3 linked regions of the Coturnix japonica genome follow. The protein of the gene in region 1 purifies or fractionates together with the protein of each later gene. This does not show direct contact. Links are inferred from orthologs where the notes say so. Each region holds a gene or a part of one and is shown in the gene's direction. Other genes may lie near its edges.

The links. Proteins that work in one complex are often made in the same cells at the same time.
Region 2: the proteins of MED1 (region 1) and MED9 purify together in Homo sapiens (affinity purification with mass spectrometry; 8 studies listed by BioGRID and IntAct, counting the BioPlex papers as one, with this or other methods). This does not show direct contact. The link is inferred for Coturnix japonica from reciprocal best matches to the Homo sapiens genes MED1 and MED9.
Region 3: the proteins of MED1 (region 1) and DNA-directed RNA polymerase II subunit RPB11-a purify together in Homo sapiens (affinity purification with mass spectrometry; 3 studies listed by BioGRID and IntAct, with this or other methods). This does not show direct contact. The link is inferred for Coturnix japonica from reciprocal best matches to the Homo sapiens genes MED1 and POLR2J.

The regions. Positions count from the first base shown.
Region 1 is NC_029542.1:3,840,977-3,846,859, reverse strand, and holds the start of MED1 (mediator of RNA polymerase II transcription subunit 1), read left to right. Parts: upstream 1-1,142; 5' UTR 1,143-1,319; coding exon 1,320-1,347; intron 1,348-2,204; coding exon 2,205-2,311; intron 2,312-2,770; coding exon 2,771-2,849; intron 2,850-3,233; coding exon 3,234-3,288; intron 3,289-3,418; coding exon 3,419-3,551; intron 3,552-3,877; coding exon 3,878-3,906; intron 3,907-4,260; coding exon 4,261-4,332; intron 4,333-4,441; coding exon 4,442-4,516; intron 4,517-4,812; coding exon 4,813-4,886; intron 4,887-5,230; coding exon 5,231-5,320; intron 5,321-5,458; coding exon 5,459-5,570; intron 5,571-5,864; coding exon 5,865-5,883. Other genes in the region: CDK12 (cyclin-dependent kinase 12), read right to left, coding at 1-386. UniProt on the Homo sapiens protein: Component of the Mediator complex, a coactivator involved in the regulated transcription of nearly all RNA polymerase II-dependent genes.
Region 2 is NC_029529.1:4,802,316-4,810,417, forward strand, and holds MED9 (mediator of RNA polymerase II transcription subunit 9), read left to right. Parts: upstream 1-3,035; 5' UTR 3,036-3,070; coding exon 3,071-3,219; intron 3,220-6,067; coding exon 6,068-6,284; 3' UTR 6,285-6,863; downstream 6,864-8,102.
Region 3 is NC_029534.1:3,077,575-3,085,061, reverse strand, and holds DNA-directed RNA polymerase II subunit RPB11-a, read left to right. Parts: upstream 1-2,749; 5' UTR 2,750-2,828; coding exon 2,829-2,881; intron 2,882-3,018; coding exon 3,019-3,108; intron 3,109-3,213; coding exon 3,214-3,388; intron 3,389-4,341; coding exon 4,342-4,377; 3' UTR 4,378-4,720; downstream 4,721-7,487. Other genes in the region: ras GTPase-activating protein 4-like, read left to right, coding at 115-179, 357-469, 544-730, 1,159-1,296, 1,365-1,676, 1,748-1,885, 1,954-2,089, 2,161-2,281 and 2 more; LRWD1 (leucine-rich repeat and WD repeat-containing protein 1), read right to left, coding at 4,937-5,077, 5,758-5,882, 6,459-6,620, 7,179-7,276. UniProt on the Homo sapiens protein: Core component of RNA polymerase II (Pol II), a DNA-dependent RNA polymerase which synthesizes mRNA precursors and many functional non-coding RNAs using the four ribonucleoside triphosphates as substrates.

The DNA.
Region 1 (5,883 bases):
TTCCTCTCTTTCTCTGCCTGTTTGCTCTTCATCAGCTCACGGATACGTTTGTGCTGGTGGTGTCGATGTTTCTGCGTCCTTTCGCTCCTATCCGCTTTCCTCTCCTCATTCTCCCTCCTGTCCAACTTAAGGGCCAAATCATCCGAGAACGTATCCGAATCCGAACTGATATCATCGTATTCCACCAACGGTTTGATCACAGCTCCCAGAGGCGCCGCCGTCTCTTGGGCGGCCAACGGTGACTCCTTGGAGTGCCGGGATTTATGCCTCTTATGCCTTGAAGCCACCCGGTGCCTCTCCTTGCTATTGGAGCTGCCCGATGAGTGCAGCGAGGTCCCCCCGCCGCCCCCATCCTTCTTCCCCCCATGTCTCTCTTGGTTTGGCATTCCTCCTCCTCCACTGTGCTGGGACAGGGGGAGGCGGGGGCGCTCCTCCAAATCCTCCTCGACTTTCCAACTCCCTCAGCCTCCCTCTATTCGAACCATTCACCGCCCCCCGGCACCTCCTGCTGCATGGGGAGCGGGACGGAGAGAGCGAGGAGGAAGGGAACAACGGGGAGAGGGAGAATGGGAAAGGAACGGAACCGGGAGCGGCGGGGAAGGACACCGGGCCTCAGCGCCTCATCCGAGGGGCCCAGGCCCGGAGGGCAGCGCCGCCGCGGGGGGAGCCCCGGGAAGGCGGGAGCTGGGCCCACGATCCCTCCCGGTCCCGTTGTGTCCGGTTCCCTCCCGCCCTGTCCCAACCCTCAGTACCGGGTTCCCACCGTGCGGCCCCGTTCGGTCCCCGCCGCCCCGGCCCGGCCCAGCGCCCCCCGCTCACTTCCCAAAGCGAAACGGCTCCTCGGCCCAAGGGGGGCACCCGCCAAGTCTCGCGAGATAACTGCTGCTTCTCGCGAGACTCGGCCTGAGCCCTCCCCCCGCGAGATTTCAAGCGCTGAGAATTGGGAAGGCGGAAGGGAGTGCGCGCGCGCGCACCGTCTTCTCGCGAGGTCTGAGAACGAACTTTACTCCGTCCCGGGGAGCGCACGAAGCCCCGCCCCTTCCGCCCGCTCAGCACCAATCAGCATCCAGGGGGCGGGGCTTGAGCGCAACGCCCCGCCCCCTAATCACTCCCCCTTCTCACCATGACTCCCTACCTCTCGCGAGACTCAGAAGTTCTCGCGAGAAGCGGGAGCCGCGGCCGGAGGGATGGCGGCGGGCGCCGCCGTGTGAGGCCGGAGCGGAGCGGCCCGGCCGCGGTTTATCCCCATCCCTTCCCGTTTATCGACGTGATACCGGCCCTGTGGCTCCGCCGCGGGCCGCCCCTCCCCTCCCTGAGGCATGAAGGCGGTGCCGGGAGGCGCTGAGGGTGAGTGCGGCCTAGCGGGGCTGCGCTGTGTGGAGGCGGAGGGAAGGCCCGGCCTCCTCGGGATGGGGGGGGTTCCACAGCTCGAGGGACGGCGGTTGGGCCTGCAGGGAACGGCGGAGCCCGGCCGTGGGGTCCCAGTGGGTCTCTATGGGGTCTCTATGGGTCCCTATGGGTCCCTATGGGTCCCTATGGGGTCTCTATGGGTCCCTATGGGTCTCTATGGGTCCCTATGGGTCTCTATGGGATCTCTATGGGTCCCTATGGGTCTCTATGGGGTCTCTATGTGTCCCTATGGGTCCATACTCACCATGTGTGGGTCGTCGGGTCCCCTCCCCACTTTGGGTCTCTATGGATCCCTATGGGTCCCAGTGGGTTTCTATGGGTCTGAATGGGCTTCAATGGGGTCCCCATGGGTCTCAATGGGTCTCAAAGCTGGGCATTAAGCAGCTCCAGAGCGGGGCTGTGGTGGATGGAAATAAAGGCTGATGGGCTCCTGTGGTAGCGAACCGTTCGGTTGTTTGTTCTGCTTTGATTTGATGGGGTTGGCATTAAGTCCATGACATCTGTGTGTATCAGTTTATAAACCCTTCTGATTCTATAGGCCTTGTAGGGTCATGTTCTATGGCAGTTATGTTGCCATAGACTTGTGTTGGAGCCAGAAATACCTGGTATCAGGGAGATGCCTTCCATAACAATGTAACTTAATAAAGTGCTACAATGAGTTTTAGAGCCCCACAATGTATAGATTGGATTCAGCACACATTTATAAAGGCTGAGTGTGTCCCGGCTTGGAAGGGCTGTGCAATCAGCTCACGTTCTCTTTTGTTTCTATGTTTTCATTCCGCTTTGTCTGACAGAGGCAGAGAAGCTGAATAAGATGAGTGCTCTCTTAGAAAGACTTCATGCAAAGTACAACCAAAACAGACCTTGGACTGAAACCATGAAGCTGGTCCGTCAAGTCATGGTGAGAAGTGCTGGGGTTTCCTTTACAGTGATGCTCAACACTCAGTGTTATCTCAGTCAGATGCAGCTTTGAAATACCTTGGTGAGGGTAGAAAGGAGTGGGAGGCAGGGAAGAGCATCATCAAAAGCTGCTGTATGTGTTGTGGTGTTAAAGTTAATCTCTCTTTGTTTCTCTTGCTCCTCTCATATAACTCGTAGCTTATGCTATTTAAGAAGTTGTTGCAGTCTGATCTTTCACAAGAGCAAGCTTAATAATCAATTCCAGACCTGCCTGTTTTACCCACTGCAAATATGGATATGATTCTGGTACAGGAATCGCAATGAGGGTGTAATTTGGGGATGAAATCCAATCTGCCTTTAATTACCTGAATAAACCTCACTCGACTGAATGAAAATTGCAGTAATTTTCCTCTCATGGAGTGAAACTTTAAAACGACTGTTTTTCTTCTTTCTGACGTAGGAAAAACGACTTGTGATGAACTCTGGGGGGCACCAACATCTGGTGAGCTGTTTGGAGACCTTGCAAAAAGCATTAAAAGGTTGGTACGTGCTGTGCCTGCACTCAGGAAATGCTTAACAGTGATATACTATGGAAATACTCTGTATTAGAGGAACCTGCGAGGTTATTGCTTGCAAAGCTCAGTGTGCTCGTGGTGCTTATAGAAGCATGCTTATTTCTTGTGAGTCATTATCAGCCAAAATTGCCTGTGTTGCTTTTATTCTTATTGCCCATACATGGATTCCACTTGTGGATGAAAATCCACACTGAGAATGTTTGTTTTTCTCTATGCAAAACGATTCTTGTTTTTTGAGTATGGAGTGGGTGTGAGTAAGTAGTTGGGATTGCTTTTAATGCTGATACATCATTACTGGAAAGATGTTCAGTCGTATCACTAAGGCTTATTTTTGCTTTCTTTGTCTAGTGTCTTCTCTGCCTGCCATGACAGATCGCCTGGAGTCCATAGCCAGACAAAATGGGTACATCTTCTCCTTTGTTTCACAGCAGTTTTGTATCTCCTACTTATCTGTATACATCATAATTTTGCTGCTGGTTTGACTGTTTCTTGTGTGTATCTCTTAGTAATTTTTGCTTTGTTTTGTATTTAAGCCTTGGATCACACCTCAGTGCAAATGGCACCGAATGTTACATCACTTCAGACATGTTCTATGTGGAAGTCCAGTTAGATCCTACAGGGCTGCTATGTGATGTCAAGGTGGCTCACCATGGAGAGAATCCTGTGGTACGTATTGCTAAGAAATACAAGAAAAATACCTTTGTTTTTGGAACTGCAGTTTTGCTTCCCTTTTTCTTGTGCAGAGAAAATGGATTGTACTGAACATTCCCCCAAACCTAATGTTATATCTGCTTGTTCTGCTGCTTCTGAAAGTTTCATTTCTGGGGGAAGAATAGGGAAATTAATCTTGTATTTGTGAGTGTTTTGTTGCTTCTCATCAAAACTGATGCTCACAGACTTCACTGTCCTGATATTTTACAGCTGCTGTGCTGCACAAAGACTTACACTGAAGCATTTGATGTTGATTTTGCTGTGTGTTCTTTCCTTTTCAGAGCTGTCCAGAATTGGTGCAACATCTGAGGTGAGCAACAAGAGCTGTTGCATCATTCTGATTTTGGTCTGATTCTGTTTTATGCTTGGAAACACAGAACGTTTCTGAACTGCTCTTTCCCCATGAAGTCTCTCCCCTTCTCCAGGAGATCTTCTGGCTTTGCTTCAGATGTTTCTCACCCTAACTGCTGTGCATGTTATCTTGGAAGGCACAGCAAAGCGTTCACCAGAATCATTAAAGCTGGATCATTTAAAGAACGCATTGTTTAGCTTTCATATAGCAAAAACCTATTCTGAAGTGATTTAGTGTTTGTATTAGTGTAACCTCTAAAAACAAAGCCTTATCTACAACAGATCTGAATACATTTCTCTCTTTTACTTTCAGAGAGAAAAATTTTGATGAGTTTTCTAAGCATCTGCGGGGGCTTGTGAACCTCTATAAGTTGCCAGGAGACAAGTAAGTCTAGAATATGCAATGTATTTACAACTGCGTGTATGAAAGCGAACAAGACTTCAAGCCTTTTAATTTTTCTTATGGTTTCTTCCTTTTTTTTCCTTATTCCCAGCAAACTCAAAACTAAAATGTACTTGGCCCTTCAGTCCTTGGAGCTGGATCTCTCAAAAATGGCAGGGATGTATTGGTAAGCACATTGTTACCATTTGCTGCTTGCTTTGTGGTGGTTGAGTTGCTGTATCACGTTGCCTGGTTGTTAATCATGCCAAGCACTGTATATCCATGAAGTATTGTACCAGTGCCTATGTATTGGCACTGTATTGTATTACACTGTTGCTAAAAAGTACAAGTCTGAAGTCTAAGAAAGGCTGTGCTAGCAGAGGAGAGCGGTAAGAGGAGATCTTCAGACTTCCATCAGCACATGAGTTGTGGCTTCAGATGTGGTTTTGGCTCATTACAAACTGGTGATGGCCTCTCTTGCAGGCAAGCCACCAATGCAAACCCACTGGACAAGATTCTTCATGGCAGTGTTGGCTATCTCACCCCCAGGAGCGGAGGTATCTTTGGTTAACACTTAAGAAAGAAAGGAAAAGATGATTTTGTCCAGGGTCCCCTTTATCGATATTAACCAATGATAATAATGAAAAATGCTAATCATAGAGGGACAGGGTGGTGGAAGATTTGTAAGTCCCACATGATCTAGAAAGCTGGTTCTCCTTTACAAAGCCATGCATAGCAATACTGTGCCAGTTGGCCATGTCCAGTCTTTGACAGCTCTTTCAAGGTGCTGTAGAAGCTCTGTGCAGAGTTACAGTGCATATGTTATGTGCTTACAGGGGTTAATAACGATTGGGTTCAATTACATCATCCAGATGCTTGTTCATAAGCCTCTCTCCTTCAGGTCTCCTTATGAATCTCAAGTATTACGTCTCTCCCTATGACTTATTTGAAGATGGCACTGGAGCCCCTGTTATTTTGCACGAGAGCAATGGTAGGTCACTTGTGAAAGCCACTGCGGACTACTCTGCTACATGGAGAAACTGATGTATTTCCACTTGGGATAATTTGTAAAGCTTTGGTTTTTATTCATCAGCTTACCTTGTTCTTTGTTTCTTGCCTTGTCTTGCAGTTCCTCGATCTTTGGGTATGAACGTGTCAGTGACAGTTGAGGGAACCATGGCGATGTACAAACTTCCCATTGCGCCGCTGATTATGGGTTCTCATCCAGTGGACAGCAAAGGGTGAGCAAAGGGCCTGTCAGCCAGGCCTGTCTTTGGTCTTATTTAGATGCAAATCCAGACTTCAGCCTGGTTTTGAAGTTAGGATGGAGAGATGACTGCATTATACTGTAATATCTTGTGAAGCTGAGAATTGTGTGTTTTGGTGTACTTTTGAGGAGTGTCTTTTACTTTTTAAGAGAGTATAACAATCTGCTTGTATTTGAGAAAAGAGTAAATTGCAAGTCTGGCAGTCATAGCAGGAGCCAGACTCATGCCCTGCATCTAATAAGACCTTGTTTTAACTCAATGTTCCAGAACTCCATCGTTCTCATCA
Region 2 (8,102 bases), on another chromosome or scaffold:
CTGTGCCACCTCTCGTCCCTGCAGGCTGGGCTCCCTGGGAGAGGTGGCCACTCTCCTCAAGGACAGCAACTCTGATGTGTCACCCGATGGCTCTATACCCTGTGATGGGGCACACGGGTTCCCCTGCAGCTGGTCACCCTGATAAAGTGAGGTGAGCTCTGGGAAGCACCAGAGTTCTTTGGATGTGTCTGGGTGATGCTCAGCTTATGGATCCTCCCATTTCTATCCACACACCACAGAGAACTGGGGACACCAGAGCCCTGAAACAGATCCTCAATGACACCAGAATTCAAGACAGGTCAGATCCGAAGGCCAAACTTCCATCTGGTCACATATAGGGGGATGCTGGTTAGGAATCTCAGCAGTTGCAGGCTCACCTCTGAGGACAAAAGGACAGAGTCCCTGTGCTGCTGACCACAGCCCCAGGCTGGTTGCCCAGAGGAGCTGTTACTTCTTGTTCCTATCGCCCCATGCCAGGTGGCCACAACCCCAACACCATCTCTCTCATTCAGCAGTACAGACTTATCCCACTGCAGCAGCTCAGCAAGCCTAAGATAGAAAATTCAAGCTGACAATGAGCTATCGGGGCAGGACAAAGAGATAAAGTTCAACCTGATGATAGCCACACAATAAAAAATGATAACAGAGCTGGTGGCAATGGCACAGGCAGCTCCAGATAGCCTGGCAGAGAGAAGCAGAGCCTGGTGACATGCCAGATCATCCATACAGAAATGTCAGGTCATTGTAAGGGAACATTGGTGAGATGCAGAGCTGTGTGGTGCTCAATTAGATAACTGCTGGTAGCCCCCCTCCTGAAATTATCTTTGGAAGCAGACGTGAGAAGTAATTTGTATAGAAAGACAGGGGGAAAAAGGAGGTGATGACTGGTACTGTAAGGAAACAGGCAATAAGGGGTATTGGATACACTTTATTTGATCAGTCGTTTTTTAGGATAACGGATTAACCAAATGGTAGGGCAAGCAATAAAGTGTATGGGATGGCTTTAAGACATGGAAGGTCTGGAGACCTCCACGAGAGAGCAGCAAGAGAGCCAGACACAGCCCTCCCATCTGAGATGGAGACCTGCAGAGTGCAGAGATCATATTGAGTATGTTGTCTTCCCATTAGGAACTTCATCACAAGATGTAAGCCAGGTCACCATCTCACAGGGATAAAGGCCTCACAGCTTGGAGCACTGTAAGGGCAGCTGAAGATTAGGGCAGTGCTCCTTGGCCCAAAAAACCTCTTCTTCCTTCCCAGGCCTGTCAGCTGGGTCTTTACCCTCCCTGAAGTCTTCACCGAGGCTATGGACACACCAGTCATGGTACAGACAACAGGCAGACATTCAAACAGTAACTGTGCACTCTGGTCCCATCAATTCACTGGTGTCTTCAGTGATGGAGGAGCCAGTGGCACCATTTCCTCACTGCAAAACATGAACATGCCTAACCAGCCCTGAAGGATGGAGATGGGTCACCTGAAGGAGCTGTTCTCATGAGGAAGGGAAGGTGTGAGGCAGACAGGGCTGAACACCACTGAGACAAAGCTGTAGATTCCAATTGCTGTGGGAACACGTGAACCAAAATGGGAACGGAATGGTACAAAGAAATTCTGATTGACAGTGCTGTAGTTCTGCCTGAATGGTATCTGCATGTTGTCACCTACTCTAATGACTGCCTGACTCACCCATGAGAGGCAGGCATCCAGCAGCCTAGCAATTAGCCACACTCCTTGATAAAGTCTAGGGGAGAGTTAAAACCAGCACAGCACAGAATAAAATGACCCCTGAGGAGCCTGAATCAAGTCTTGCTTTAGAAACAGCCCATAAAACGACGTGCAGAAATGAACCTCTCTGCTCAGCCCCACACAAAGGCATTAGCATCCTGTACCTCCTGCTTGGTTCAGTCAAGGGCCATGAATCCCACCAGCCTTCCCGCAGGGATCTGCTCAGCAGGTCCTGGGCACCCCTGGGCTCTCCTGCACATTCCAGAACTGGTGACCAAGCCGGGATCTATTCTTGACAGTAGAACAATGTGAACAATTGCATCTGCTATATTTAGAGCGAGCAGTCAATAATACATACGCACAAACGGTTACCAGCGTTCTCATTTGATACATAAATAGTTCGCTTTTCAAAAGAAATTGTTTTTTAAAATGAAAATTACCTTTCCCGTCATCCCTGGGCTATAACTAACTGATGAACCCGGGAGCTGAATTCAAATAAAAAACAAAATTATCTGTGCTCTCTAAGCCAATCCAGGAAGGATAACTCACGACTGTGGCTGCTGTTATCAGTGCTACAATAGTGTGTATTGACAGAGCGGTTTAAACGCGGCAGCAGCAGTTTGCTGAAGCACACTCCTGATGGTGCACAGGGGCAGCACTGCTCACCCTCACCTTCCATGCAGCGTGTTCTCCATCACCCCCTTGCACTCACAGCCCAGGCACCCAAGAACCCCACCTCTCCCCTCCTTGCAGCTTCATGGATGTCTCAGCCCTGCTGCTGGATTTTTGCCTCCATTCCTTCAGGTTTCTCCAGTTCCAAGCCCTGAAAGCCCTTCTCTTCTCCAGGCTGAACTCCCTCAGCCTGCCTTTATATGGGAGAGGTGCTCCAGCCCTCACAGCATCTCCATGGCCCTCCTCTCCAACGAGGACAGCCAGGAACAGTTGGGCTGCACACAGGTCAGGGATGCTGTAGGTCACACTGTGGGGTGCTCAGTGTGGGTGTGCAGGGCACTGCCTTGGGAGCACAGGCCCGGCTCAGCTGGGGAACACCTCAGCAGCAGTGCAGTCCCATATCTGAGACCCAGTCCCAAAGCTTGACCCCGGGCTCAGCCCCCACACCCACCCTCACAGCCCAGGACCCAGGGAGGCCTCCGAGCCCCGCTCCGGCCCAGGCCTCAGCCCCAGGCCACGGCCCGCAGCATCCCCACACCCCAACCTCCTGCCCAGGCCCAAACTGAGCCCCACACACAAGCAGCATCTGATGCTCAGCCCAGGCCGCCGCCGGGGCGGTACAGAGCGGCCGAGCTCCGCCCCGCTCCGTCACTGCTCGGCGCCGGGGGCCGCCATGGCCTCGGTGGTGTCCGCAGGCCGAGGGGCCGCCGAGGAGCCGCCGCCGGCCGAGCCGCCCACCGAGCAGAAACCGCCGCCCGCCCCGCCGGCAGCAGCGCAGGAGGAGTTCTCCTTCCTGCCGCTCGTCCACGACATCATCAAATGGTAACGGCGGCCGCACAGCGCCGGGCCGGCCTCACCACGGCATCACCCCGCAGGGATGCTCCCTCTGCCCTTTCTCTCCCCGCTGGGGTCTATGGGGGGGTTGGCAGCTGCTCTGCTCTGAGCCGGGCCCGTAGTTGGGGTCACCGAGGTGGGGCAGGGCCGGGTGTGCAGCAGCAGGAGCCGTGCCGAGCTGTTATTGCCCCGTATTGCTGCTCTGATGGGCTGATAAGTAAAGGACGGGCAGTCCCAGGGCAGCACTGTCTGTTTCTGGGCGTTGGGAGAAAGAGGAAGGCTTGTGCAGGCTGAGTCATCCTCTTTCCTGTTCAAAATCAATGCTGTGGGGTTAAAGGTGTTCGTACGAGGGTCCTGACAACCAGCGTTTGTGGCCCAGGGTAACCCTGTCAGAAATGTTTGAGTTCCCGGTAGGGGCATCGCCCTGCTGTGACCTGGGCACGTTGCACAGTGATGCAGAGGGCACAGGAAGCGTGAATTCCCACTCCTTGTTGTGGGTCTGACTGCCCTTTCCCTGCACGCTTCTATGGGAGCTGAGGCTGCTTTGTTTCCTGCTGGGGTTCTGTGTGTCTGAGTACCCAGAAGAGGTTCACCCTTATTAACCATGCAGCTGGAGGAGCATGGCAAGGAAAGGCCGAATACCCCACAGACACGGCAGCCTAGAATCTAGCTCTCCTAGATTCAGGAGAGCTATGAGAACTCAAACCCACCCTCCATTTCCCCCCTGCGCTGCCACTGTCCCTGTGCTCAACCCTGCCTGATCCATCCAGAGGTGATGCTGAACCTGCTGCCATCTGTATATGTGTGCAGAGCCAGAGTGAGCCAGATCCACGGGCTGAGACCTCCCAGCCTCCTGTGTGTCACCAAGCAAGTCGTGGCGACCCACAATGACAGTGCTGGGATATCCTGTGCCCTGTCCCTCTGAGCCACCCACTCCCACTGCCCCGCTCCCCCCCAGGTTGGCACACAGCATTTCCTGCACGGGGTGAGCAGACGTAGGTGCTCAGAGCAGCACTGCAGAGGGGTCAGACGGCAGAGCCGAGCAGTGGGATGAGTTGCCTCATGTCCCTGACAGATGGCAAACGTATTATCCTTTAACGCCGCCGCCAGGCTCACAGCCCGGCCCTGCTGTTCTGACACTGACTCAGCCCTGAAGACATTTCACATCTCCAAGGTGACTGTGCTGGGGTGCAGTGATGTATCGCGTACATTTGCTTACATTCAAGGACACGTGTTCCTTCCTGTTGTTTGAGTCCCAAGAAAGTTCTCCCAGGCAGGGCTTGCTGTTACTTTCACCCTTGTATAATCAGATGAGGTTACCTGTGAGGTCCCTGTGCGTGGTGGGTTGTGCTGGTGTATCCAGGAGCTGCAGGTGGGACATGATGGAGTTATGATTTGTTCACAGCAGTGAAGGAGAGCTGGTGGGCAGCTGGGGAGGGTCTGAAGATCTCAGTCCTTGAAGGGAGATCCCAAGCACTGTGAGGCTGTGGCTGGACATTGCATTTAATCCTGTGTAACTGCAGGTAGCTGAACCTCTTCCCACTCTTGCTCTCCCCCCTGCCTTTCCATGCCTGCAGAGGAGCTGCTTCAATTACTTGAAAACTCCCATCAGAAACAAAACAACAACAAGCCTGAAAATAGTTATTCCTTCAAACCAACCAACCAACCAGGCAACCATCCATTCTTTGGATGTGGAGAAGAGAACGAGCTGTGGAAGGACCTGGTCGGCCCTTTGAATCCAGCATGCAGCTCGTGTGGATTAAAGGCAATGCCAACCCATCCTTCCCAGATGTGCAATGTGTGTGTGCCTGTATTTTTCCACTGTCAACTTGACCGTAAACGCCTGCATAATGGGGGTACATTATAGTACCAGCTGCGGTTTTATTTAGAAGGGAGTCATGAATATTTTGTTCCAACAGGCTGTTGAAATGAACGGGACCATCTGGTTAAAAGTTTTGCTCTCAGTCGTGTCACGATTCCCCAAAGTTCTAATCAGGCACCTCTCTGCCCTGGTCATGCCAAGCAGTTTTATTTTGGGCCTGGCTATTGAACAGGCTCCCAGCTTACAGGGGCCGTTAGCAGCCTGCTCTCGTTATTAGCGCTGCCTTGGAAGCAGTCTCGCCTTTGCCTGGAATGGTAAAACTCCTTGCTGTAGCTAACAAAGCTGAAGCAGATACTAATGAGGGTTTGAGGGCAGACGCTGCCTCAGACGACGCTGATCCTCGAGAAGCACGGAGCTGCAGAAGCAATTGTGCTGCTCTTAAAAAATAAGCTGTCGCTTCTCTTTATTAGGTAGACATCCCCGGAGAGTCGTTCTGAAGCTCCGAAATGCCGTTTTCTCTGCCATTGGACACACTCTGGTACTTTGGGGAACGATTCCTATTTTCTGCTGTCAAGCTGTTTGACTGCATCGATTTCTTGTATTGCTTTGACAACAGGTCACAGACGGGGCTGAGGTCTTTTTTCCCAGGTGCCCACACACAACCTGTGTGTGTGTAATCTTACCTTCCCCATATGGGAATTGAAACAGAGTGAGAGGCTGTGGTAGTGTTTGAAAGCTGCAGACCAGGTCTTAACCTGTAGGACTGCAATTAAGGTTACTGGATGGTGTGCTGAAAATGACCAGGAAACCAGTTTGTCCCAGCAGCTGCCTAATCTGTGTATGTGTCTCTGGTGGTTTTGTTGTGATAGGTGTGAATTAGATCCCAGGAGCAAAAGTTTCCCAGTGAATTCCAGCGTAAGCCCTGACCATGCTGGGAATGACAGTCCACCAGCAGGCAGAAGGTCTGTCCAGCAGGAGATGTGAGTCATGCCTCTTGTTTTCTCCCTTCTGCAGCATGGACAAGGATAGCCAGGATGTTCACCAGGTGCTGAACGAGCTCAAGAACAAGTTCCAGGAGATGAGGAAGCTGATCAGCGCCATGCCTGGCATCGGTGTGAGCCCAGAGCAGCAGCAGCAGCAGCTGCAGAGCCTGCGGGAGCAGGTCCGGACCAAGAACGAACTGCTGCAGAAGTACAAGAGCCTCTGCATGTTCGAAATCCCTAAGGAATAGGAAGGGAGCAGCTCTGCAGTCTGAGGCTGGGATGCCTCTTCTCCTGGCTGGAAAGGAGAGGTTTACTTTGTGGGGCTTTTTTTTGTCACGTTCCTGTGACGTTGTGGCTGTGTGGGTCACAGGCATGTGACACTGAACCAGAACCGTTCGTGTGTCCTTCACATGCGATGGTTACAGCAGTGCCTTTGCTTTGATCTGCTGTAGGACTGCGTGCATTTATACATGCAGCTCTTGGGGTTGGCTGTATTTTTTTCATTCAAGCAAGCAGAACACAGTAGGTTTTCTCAAAAGAGAAGGTGGCAGTGCCTGCTGGTTCAGTTCAACAGGGAAAAAAAGGAGGCATTTTCTATATTTTTTCTTTCTCAATCCTGAAATGACAAACATTGAAAGGGAGCAAAGGGAAGCAGAGCTGTTCGGCCTGGAAAGCCTGTTTGTTGGGAAGGGTCTCTGGGGTGCTTTGCAGCCAGTGTGTTGGAAGAGGAACGGTTGCTTTCTGTTGCTTTTGTGTTTTTCTCTCTGTTTTTAAACTGGTCGTTGTGCTTGAGATGAGTCAAGTAAAGGTTAGAAACTCCAAACTGCCCCTCTTGTGTATTCACTGAGTGCACGTGGGCTGAGCGGGGCTGGGATGTGGCAGCCTGGGCTCTGCTCCTCTCTCTTAGCATTGCTTTTTGTTACCGGAGAGCAAAGCAGAGCCTGCCAGGGGAGTGGATTTCAGTGGGCTTTGGTTACGTTGGGCTCCCACACCAACTCGGTGAGCAACACACCGGGCATCCCACTCTTACAACAGAAAAAGTAGGATTAAAACAAAAGGCATAACTGACAGCAGCTTTAGTTATTCCCTAAGCGACACGAGTCAGGCTCAGCAGGACGGATCAGTTCTGTGTCTGAAATGCTCCAGGGGCTTCCCACAAACACCAGCACTGAACGTTCGTCAGACGCTGATGGAAAGCTCTCGAATGTTGTGTTGCATTCAGATGGGGCTCAGAACTCCTTGTCCTCTGTCCTCCTGCTGGGAGCTGCTGGGTGTCGGATGACAACCTGGTGAGCATCTCACCCACTAACAGGTACGTGACAAGCCCTGGGATCTCACCGTGCTGAGTTAACGCTGAAAGGTGGAGCAGCTCAGGAGTGGGAGAGGTGCAAAACGGAGTGGAGAAATACAGCGTCGGATGGGAGCCTGCGTCTGAGAGCAGGTAGCATTCAGATGATGGGAACGGGGTCTGTCTGGGTAGGATTTGGCTTCCCAAAGCCAAGAGGCAAGTAATTACAATTAACGTATTTAATATTGCAGGGAGCTGGGGTGGTTGCAGCTCACTCAGAGATCGCCCTGTCCCCACTGAGCGCTTTGCTAGTGATTTCTTTGGGAAGGTGCCCATGTGTAAACTGGGAGCAAAGCAGAACACCAAGTTAAACAAAGCACAATGTACACTTCTTTATTACCTTCCTGCCAGCCATTCCCCATCCCAGCTCAGTACATTCTTGTGTTTCATGCCTGGACGGAGGTTTCTCCTCTTGGCTTCTGCTCCTGTCAAACCAGGCCGTGCAAAGAGCTGGAAGGAGCGAAGTGTTTCCAAAGAGAAGCCTGGCACTTTGTACAGCAACAAGTGAACTCGACTCCAAGTTTCAGACCAAACTGAAGTGGTTTTGTTTGCAGCCTCACTCGCCCACACTTTATGGCTTCAGCAGAATTTTCTCTTATTAATACATATTAAATGCAGGTCTGTTGTGGGGCTGAAGGGTGGGATGGGGCTGCTGTGCATGACCAGAACCAGCTTTGGAGAATTCAGAGCCAACGAGAGCTGTTCTTTGCACAGCTTT
Region 3 (7,487 bases), on another chromosome or scaffold:
GTTGGTGGAGGAATGGGCAGGTGTTTGGTTGGAGAATCCCTGTAACTCCAGGGTAGGGTAGAAATGCCTGGTGGGTACCTGGGGCTGCTCCACTGGCTTCCTCCTGTTTCTCAGGTGAACCCAACACTTTGTTCCGGAGCAACTCCCTGGCCTCAAAGTCAATGGAGTCTTTCCTCAAGGTGCTGTTGCCCCTAAATCCCCCTTGTCCGCAGGAAGCTTCACCCCAAACCCTGCTCCTTCCAGCTCACCACAGCTCCATGCTGTCCTAAGGGAAGGACATGGGGAGCTGTGTCTGCCTCTGGGGCCAAGAGCTGGAGAAAACCCCCTAAGGTTGGGTGCTGTGGTCCCCTGGGCAGGTGACAGGGATGCAGTACCTGCATGCGGTGCTGGGACCCACCATCTCCAGGGTGTTTGAGGAGAAGAAATACGTGGAGCTGGACCCCAGCAAGGTGGAGATCAAGGACGTTGGGTAAGGGGCACAGGGGCTGCAGTGGGTGGGGGTACTCAGAGTCCATGGGACTGATGGGGTCTGTGCACCCGCAGGTGCTCGGGGCTGCACCGGGTGCAGACAGAGAGTGAGGTGATGGAGCAGGGCCGCCAGCTCCTGCAGTCCTACCTCGGGGAGCTCTTAGATGCCATCAGTAAATCGGCTCCTACCTGCCCTCCTGTCATCCGTGCTGCTTTCCGGCAGCTCTTCCAGCGTGTCGGGGAGCGCTTCCCCCAGCATCAGGTCAGCTCCAAACCCAGTAGTGGGGATGGAGGAATGGGGCCAATGGCTTGATGATGGGTGACTTAAGTTGGTGGGGGGGCAACCAGCCCAAGGCAGGGGGTTGGAACTGGGTGGGCTTAGGGGGAAGTTCTTTACTAGGAGAGTGGTTAGGGCCTAGAACAGGCTGCCCAGGGAGGTTGTGGATGCCCCGTCCTTGGAGGTGTTCAAGGCCAAGTTGGACAGGACCATGGGCAACCTGATCTAGTAAAGGTGTATGTTTGGTGGCCCTGCCAGGCAGGGGGTTGGAACTACATGATCCTTGAGGTCCCTTCCAACCTGGGTCATTCTGTGATTCTGTGGGCTGTGAGGATCATCCAACCCTGAAGCATCATGAGGGATGGTGCCATGGGGATGGACCCTCACACATCTCTTGCCCCCGGTGGCTGCAGCACACTCAGTTCGTGGCTGTCACCAGCTTCTTGTGCCTGCGCTTCTTCTCCCCCGCCATCATGACCCCCAAACTCTTCCACCTGAGGGAGACACACGCTGATGCACGTACCAGCCGCACGCTGCTGCTGCTGGCCAAGGTGAGCTGGGACATGGGCACAGCGGGGTGGCACTGGGGGCAACGACTCCACCATGCCGTGGTCTGCAGGCCGTGCAGATGGTGGGCAACATGGAGCCAGCGGCAGGGAGAGCCAAGGAGGAATGGCTGGCCCCGCTGCAGCCCGCCCTGCAGCACGGAGCCTCCCAGATGAGGGCCTTCATCACCCGCCTGGTGGGCACGGAGGAGGAGGAGGGTGGAGAGGAGCAGCCCTGTGCCCCCCGCAGCAACGTGGTGAAGGAGGGGCTGCTGTTTGTCCATAAGACACGGGGCAAAGGGCCGCTGCTTGCTTCTGCATCCAAGAAGCTGCACTTCTGCCTCACCAGCGAGGCACTCAGCTTCAGCAAGAGCCCCGGGGCAGAGGTAGGGGGACGTGGGGTGGTGGGATCCCATGGTGGCACGGAGGGCACCGAGCGCTGTGTCCCCAATGGCAGAGATGCGGCTCCATCGCTTTGGCCAACATCCGAGCGGCCGAGAAGGTGGAGGAGAAAAGCTTTGGGAGCTGCCACGTCATGCAGGTGGTCTATGTGGATGAGGCCGGGCAGCAGGAGACGGCGTATCTGCAGTGCAAGGTGGGCTGGGATGGGGACGGGGCTGTTTCCCATTGGGGTACTGTGTGACCTCGCTGTTTAACCCGCAGTGTGTCAATGAGCTGAACCAGTGGCTGTCTGCGCTGAGGAAGGTGTGCGGCAACAACCCGCAGCTGCTGCGCTCCTACCACCCCGGGGTCTTCAGGGGGGATAAATGGAGCTGCTGCCACCAGAAGGACAGGACGGGTACGGGCTGCTGGGTGGGGGGTGGGGGTGGTGATGTCCCCGCTATTTTCAGCCCCTGTTCTGTCCCATAGGACCGGGCTGCGGCCGGACCCGGCACAGCATCACCCTGCAGGACTGGACCGACCCGCTGCAGCCCGACGTGGAGGCGCAGCGGCTCTTCCAGCACCTGCACGGGCTGCAGCAGCCCCTCAGGTGGGACCCACAACCGGGGGCAGCCCCCAAAGCGCCCCCTGCCCCGCGGCCAACAGCCCCTTTATCCGCAGGGAGAAGTGCCGGCAGCTCATGGAGCCGGGGGACCCTCAGAACGGAGAAGGTAGAGAAAGGACCCCCAGCTCCCCATCCCCCCCATAGGCGCTGTGCTCTGGGGCTGCTCCCATTCCCGGGGGGTCTCACCGCCCCGCTCTCCCCCCCCCCCAGCCCCACCGCTGACCCCCGCGCTCCGCCGGCTCCTGGATGCGCTGCAGGACCTGGAGCGCTGTCACCGCCGGCTGCCCCCGGCCCAGCCCCCCCTGCAGGAGCTGCCGGAGCCGCAGACGTGACGGACGGACCGGGATGTGCCGGGATGGGGCTGGGGGGGGGGGGGGGGGGGGGGTCGCAGCGTGGCAATAAATGCGCAGCTCCACCCGCTCCGTGTCCGTGCCTTTATAGCGCACTGCGCACGGTCCGCCCGCACGGCAGGGGGCGCTGTGGGCGGAAGTGACGCTGTGTGCGCTGCGGGGAGCGGTGCGGAGCCGGCGGGATGAACGCGCCGCCAGCATTTGAGTCGTTCCTGCTGTTCGAAGGGGAGAAAAAGTGAGTAGGGGGCGGGATGGAGGATGGGGGGGGTCCGGTGGGGGGTTGGGGGCTGCCCGGACCGTCCCGTGCCCCCCCGGTTCCCCCCATGTCCGCCCGGGCTGTGGCAGTGAATCGCCGCCCCCTGTGCTGTGTAGGATCACCATCAACAAGGACACCAAGGTGCCCAACGCCTGTTTGTTCACCATCAACAAGGAGGATCACACGCTGGGAAACATCATCAAGTCGTGAGCTGAGGGAGCTGGGCGCTGCTTACAAGTGCTGGGGCTCTTATAAAGCTCTTACATCTATTAATGTATGTTTGTTTGCTGCTGCTTTGCCTCCTCCCCCAGGCAGCTGCTGAAGGACCCCCAGGTGCTGTTTGCAGGTTACAAGGTCCCGCACCCCCTGGAACATAAAATCATCATCCGCGTCCAAACGACCCCGGATTACAGCCCCCAGGAGGCCTTCACCAACGCCATCACCGACCTGATCAGCGAGCTGTCCCTGCTGGAGGAGAGATTCAGGGTGAGCTCAGTTCTGAGCACTGCGAGAAGCCCATCCTTTGAACCTAAGGGAAGGGCTCAGCCCAGAGCTGCTGCCATCTCGAAGATGATCAGGGGGCTGGAGCACCTCCCCTATGAGGACAGGCTGAGGGAGTTGGGTTTGTGCAGCCTGGAGAAGAGAAGGTTGCGGGGTGACCTCATTGCAGCCTTTCAGAACCTGAAGGGAACCTATAACCAGGAGGGGAGTAAACTCTTGGAAAGGGCTGACAATAGCAGGACACGGGGAAATGGTTTGAAGTTAAAAGAGGGAAGATTTAGGTTGGATGTCAGGGGGAAGTTCTTCACTAGGAGAGTGGTCAGGCCCTGGAACAGGCTGCCCAGGGAGGTTGTGGATGCCCCGTCCTTGGAGGTGTTCAAGGCCAGGTTGGACGGGGCCGTGGGCAACCTGATCTATGGGGTCTCTATGGGGAATCTATGGGGTCTCCTGGGCAACCTGATCTAGTAAATGTGTATGTTTGGTGGCCCTGCCAGGCAGGGGGGTTGAAACTACATGATCCTTGAGGTTCCTTCCAACCCGGGTCATTCTGTGATCATCTAGTCCAACCATTCCCAATACTTCCCGGCTAGATCATACTCAACAACACAACATCCAGACGTTTTCTTGAACACTCCCATGGTCGGTGACTCCACCACCTCTCTGGGCAGTGCATTCCAATGCCTGACTACCCTTTCCGCAAAGTAAAACTTCCTAATGTTCAGCCTGAATCTCCCCTGGCGCAGCTTAAAACCATTCCCTCTAGTTCTATCACTGATAACACAAGAGAAGAGGCCAACCCCCAGCTCACTACAACCTCCCTTCAGGAAGTTATAGAGCAATAAGGTCTCCCCTGAACTCATGCAGTTGTTGTTTGATGTGAAATTGATGAAATCAGTGTTTAAACCATCCACTGACGGTTCTGTTTCTGTTCTTTACAGGTTGCCATTAAAGACAAACAAGAAGGAATCGAGTGAAATCAGCCTGCTCTTAGTGTGATACACTGCTGATGAAGAACGATGTGTCTGAGTGAAATGCTTTATTTAAACCTTCATTCAATGCCAATTACTTTCCTTCCAGTCCTACTGACTTTGGCAGCAGTATTGGGAGGGGATGTTTGTATCTGACATGTCTTGTTTGATTTCATGGCTTAATTCACTAAAATGGTTTTCACTTTTCTAACTGGAGCCTCACTGTCACTATGTGCACTATGCTGTAGCTCAGTCTCACTGCCCTTATGGCAATGAGGAGATGCTGAGTGGCAATAACGGGTCACAGCCCTGGTTTCCCATTCCAAGAAGTTCAGATTCTGCCAGCAGAGTTGTTGTTTTGTTTTATTAAGTGTCATTTCTATAAAACAAATGCACAAATTGTGTAAACTTACAGGAAAAAAGCCTGGATGACTGGATGTGCTTAACGAACTCTTTTACCTTTTGCACGTAACAGCTGGTCTAGAAAACTTTATGGTTATATGGGTAACAGTCACTAATACTGCACTATTTCAAAACACGGGGAATGAACTTCTATAACAAGGAACTATGACTTCTTCCAAATGGCTGTAATGTTCACACTAGTGAGAGCAACAAGGTAAGTGAAAGTAGGGTCTGTTATCACGTTGTTTATGTAGACTTCGCTCAGGTGTTCCCCATTTGCTTGAAGCTCCGGCCATTTGAGAATCTACAGGGAGAACAGAGTTTGTGTAGGAAAGGAATGGTATCATTGTCCATGAAACTTGGGCAATATCAATTATTGCAAAGCCTGGTTTGACAACTGGAGCTGGGTGGGGTCCAAAGAGGTCACATCCCTACCAGATACAGTTAGAGCTAAGACCACACGTGCCTCACAGCCTTTGTGAATGTGTAGTTGTTAGGGCACACTACTGACCCACAGCAGGAGTGTGCTCAGGAAAAGAATGAGCAAAAGAGAAGCAGGAACACAGGCCAGAAGCTTCCCCTTCCCCACATGCAGTTCTACCAAGGAGCAGCTGCTGCTGTTACCTCCACTCATCCAGACAGGGAAACAGTGGCTGCACACCAGACAGCAGCGCAGGAACAGCTTGTGTTGCCAGGCCATATATAGTCAAACAATCATATTTTTTACAGAGAGGCCTTTACCCAAGGAAAAGTTGACAAGCTGCAGCACACAGGAGTGAACAAATTTGCTTTGCAGCTCATAATCCCTGTCATAATTGTGTGTGTGATTGGAAGTGACCTTGGTCACACTCTGGAGATTGGTTTTAATTGGCTGTGAATGTTAGGTAGAGAAGATACGAGGCATGTTCTGGTGTGAAACTCAAGAGAGCTGCCCTGGGGAGGAAGGGAAGCACAGCTCTGACACAGAGGGTAAATGAGACCTACCTGTGTGGGCGGGATTCTCTTGTCTGAGTGTTTTCCCTTGGCAGAGCTCCATGCTGTGGTGTAGTCGGAGAGGTGGTAAATCCACACACTTCCCTTCTCATCACCGCAGAACACATGCAGTTTTGCTGTAAGATTAAAAGAAGAAGCAGGGAAATTAGAGTGGAGCTGAGGGTCCATTCTATTATAAAGCTGAGCTCCAGGCAGCGCTTTACCCTCTCAATGGAGGATGTTACATTCCATCAGAATTATCTTTCTGGCACCAAAGAAAAACCCACCCCACTAAACTACCCAGCTCTGGAACCCCCATTCGGACTCCATAGATTTGAAAAGCAATGCTCAGATCAGGTTTCTTTACTCCTCATTAGCCTTACACTGCATTGTGACAGGTGTATCACAGCGAGGTAAAACACCTCTGCCTTTAAAAGCCAAGGAACAGCCTCAAGTATTTATATGCAGCAGGTGCCCATTAGCTGCACTGTGCTGGGATTGCAGTGCTGCAAGTTAAGGATTCCTGTTGCTCACAGTGGCAGGCCAGCTGTGCTCTCTTAGCCTGGGCATTAAATCCACTCCTCTGCTTTAAACAACAGGCTCCTCCAGCAAGTGGGAGGCATTTGCAACTGTAAACAAGTAAACCTTGAGCAGTATGGCAGCCTCTGGTGCAGCCTTGTTACTTGGGAGTGCTGAAGAAGGGTGCTGCCTACCTGGGCAGGTGCTGAGTGTGAGATAAGACAAGTCTGTTGTGGACCACTCCAGTTCAGCTAGAATAACTGCAGGCACTGTTCGCTGGCTTCCTTTCCTCTTCGTGTCAAAAGAACAACTCCAGCTCCATAAGTAAATGCATCCTGGTTTGGAGCTCTTGGAAACTAGGGAAGAAAACAGAAGATGATGTAAAGGTGCTGAGAAGTGCTTCAGAACAGCTGGGGAAGGCAGTCCATCTAGAAAGTGGCTTTCAAGACATGGGATCTGACAGCAGCAGCAACTACTTCAGCTTCTTTTACCTTAATTCAGGATAATTGGAAATTTCAGGGGGATTCCCAGTCCTACACATGTTCCAAAACTGCAACAAGCAGAGCTGTTCAGAAAGACCCACTCTAGGCCTTACAGAGCCTCCAAATTGTGGGACCCAATCCTCTGCAAAGGGCTTTTAGCAGCCCTCCAACAGCAAAGGATTCTTTCCCTTCCATTTCAGCACTGCTAAGCAAAGTCTGCTGTGTTGGGTCTGTCTTTTTTTTCCAGCTCTGCTCAGACATGACTCCATATCTCATCTTTTTAGCTCAGTGAGTCTAGAAGGAAACTCCATTGAGTGCAGCCCTCCAGAATCTACAGTAGATGCAGTTACACCCCATTTACTTCCTCTGCATTATCCTTCCACACCGAGGTACCTGACTTCTTACAGATCTGGCCACCCCGTTTATACTCACCTACGACATCATCATTCAGAAAAGCCAAACCATCGACCCTGTGAGACGCTGACATTTCTCCCTCCTCATCAGGAAATTTGAATGAGGCTTCAAAAGGTCTGGGGAAGGAAGAGTGAAATAATTCAGGCCCTGAATGAGCAGCACTGAAAATGGGCTTAGATGCAGAACCCAAGGAATGGAAATCCATGTGTTAATCTCTTTCCAGATAAAGCAGATTAATTTCCTATTTGAAATCAATTATTCAGATACCTGGACTTTTCAATGCACCAGAAGCCTGCTTGCTTCAGGGCCGGCTATTTTACTCCCTTT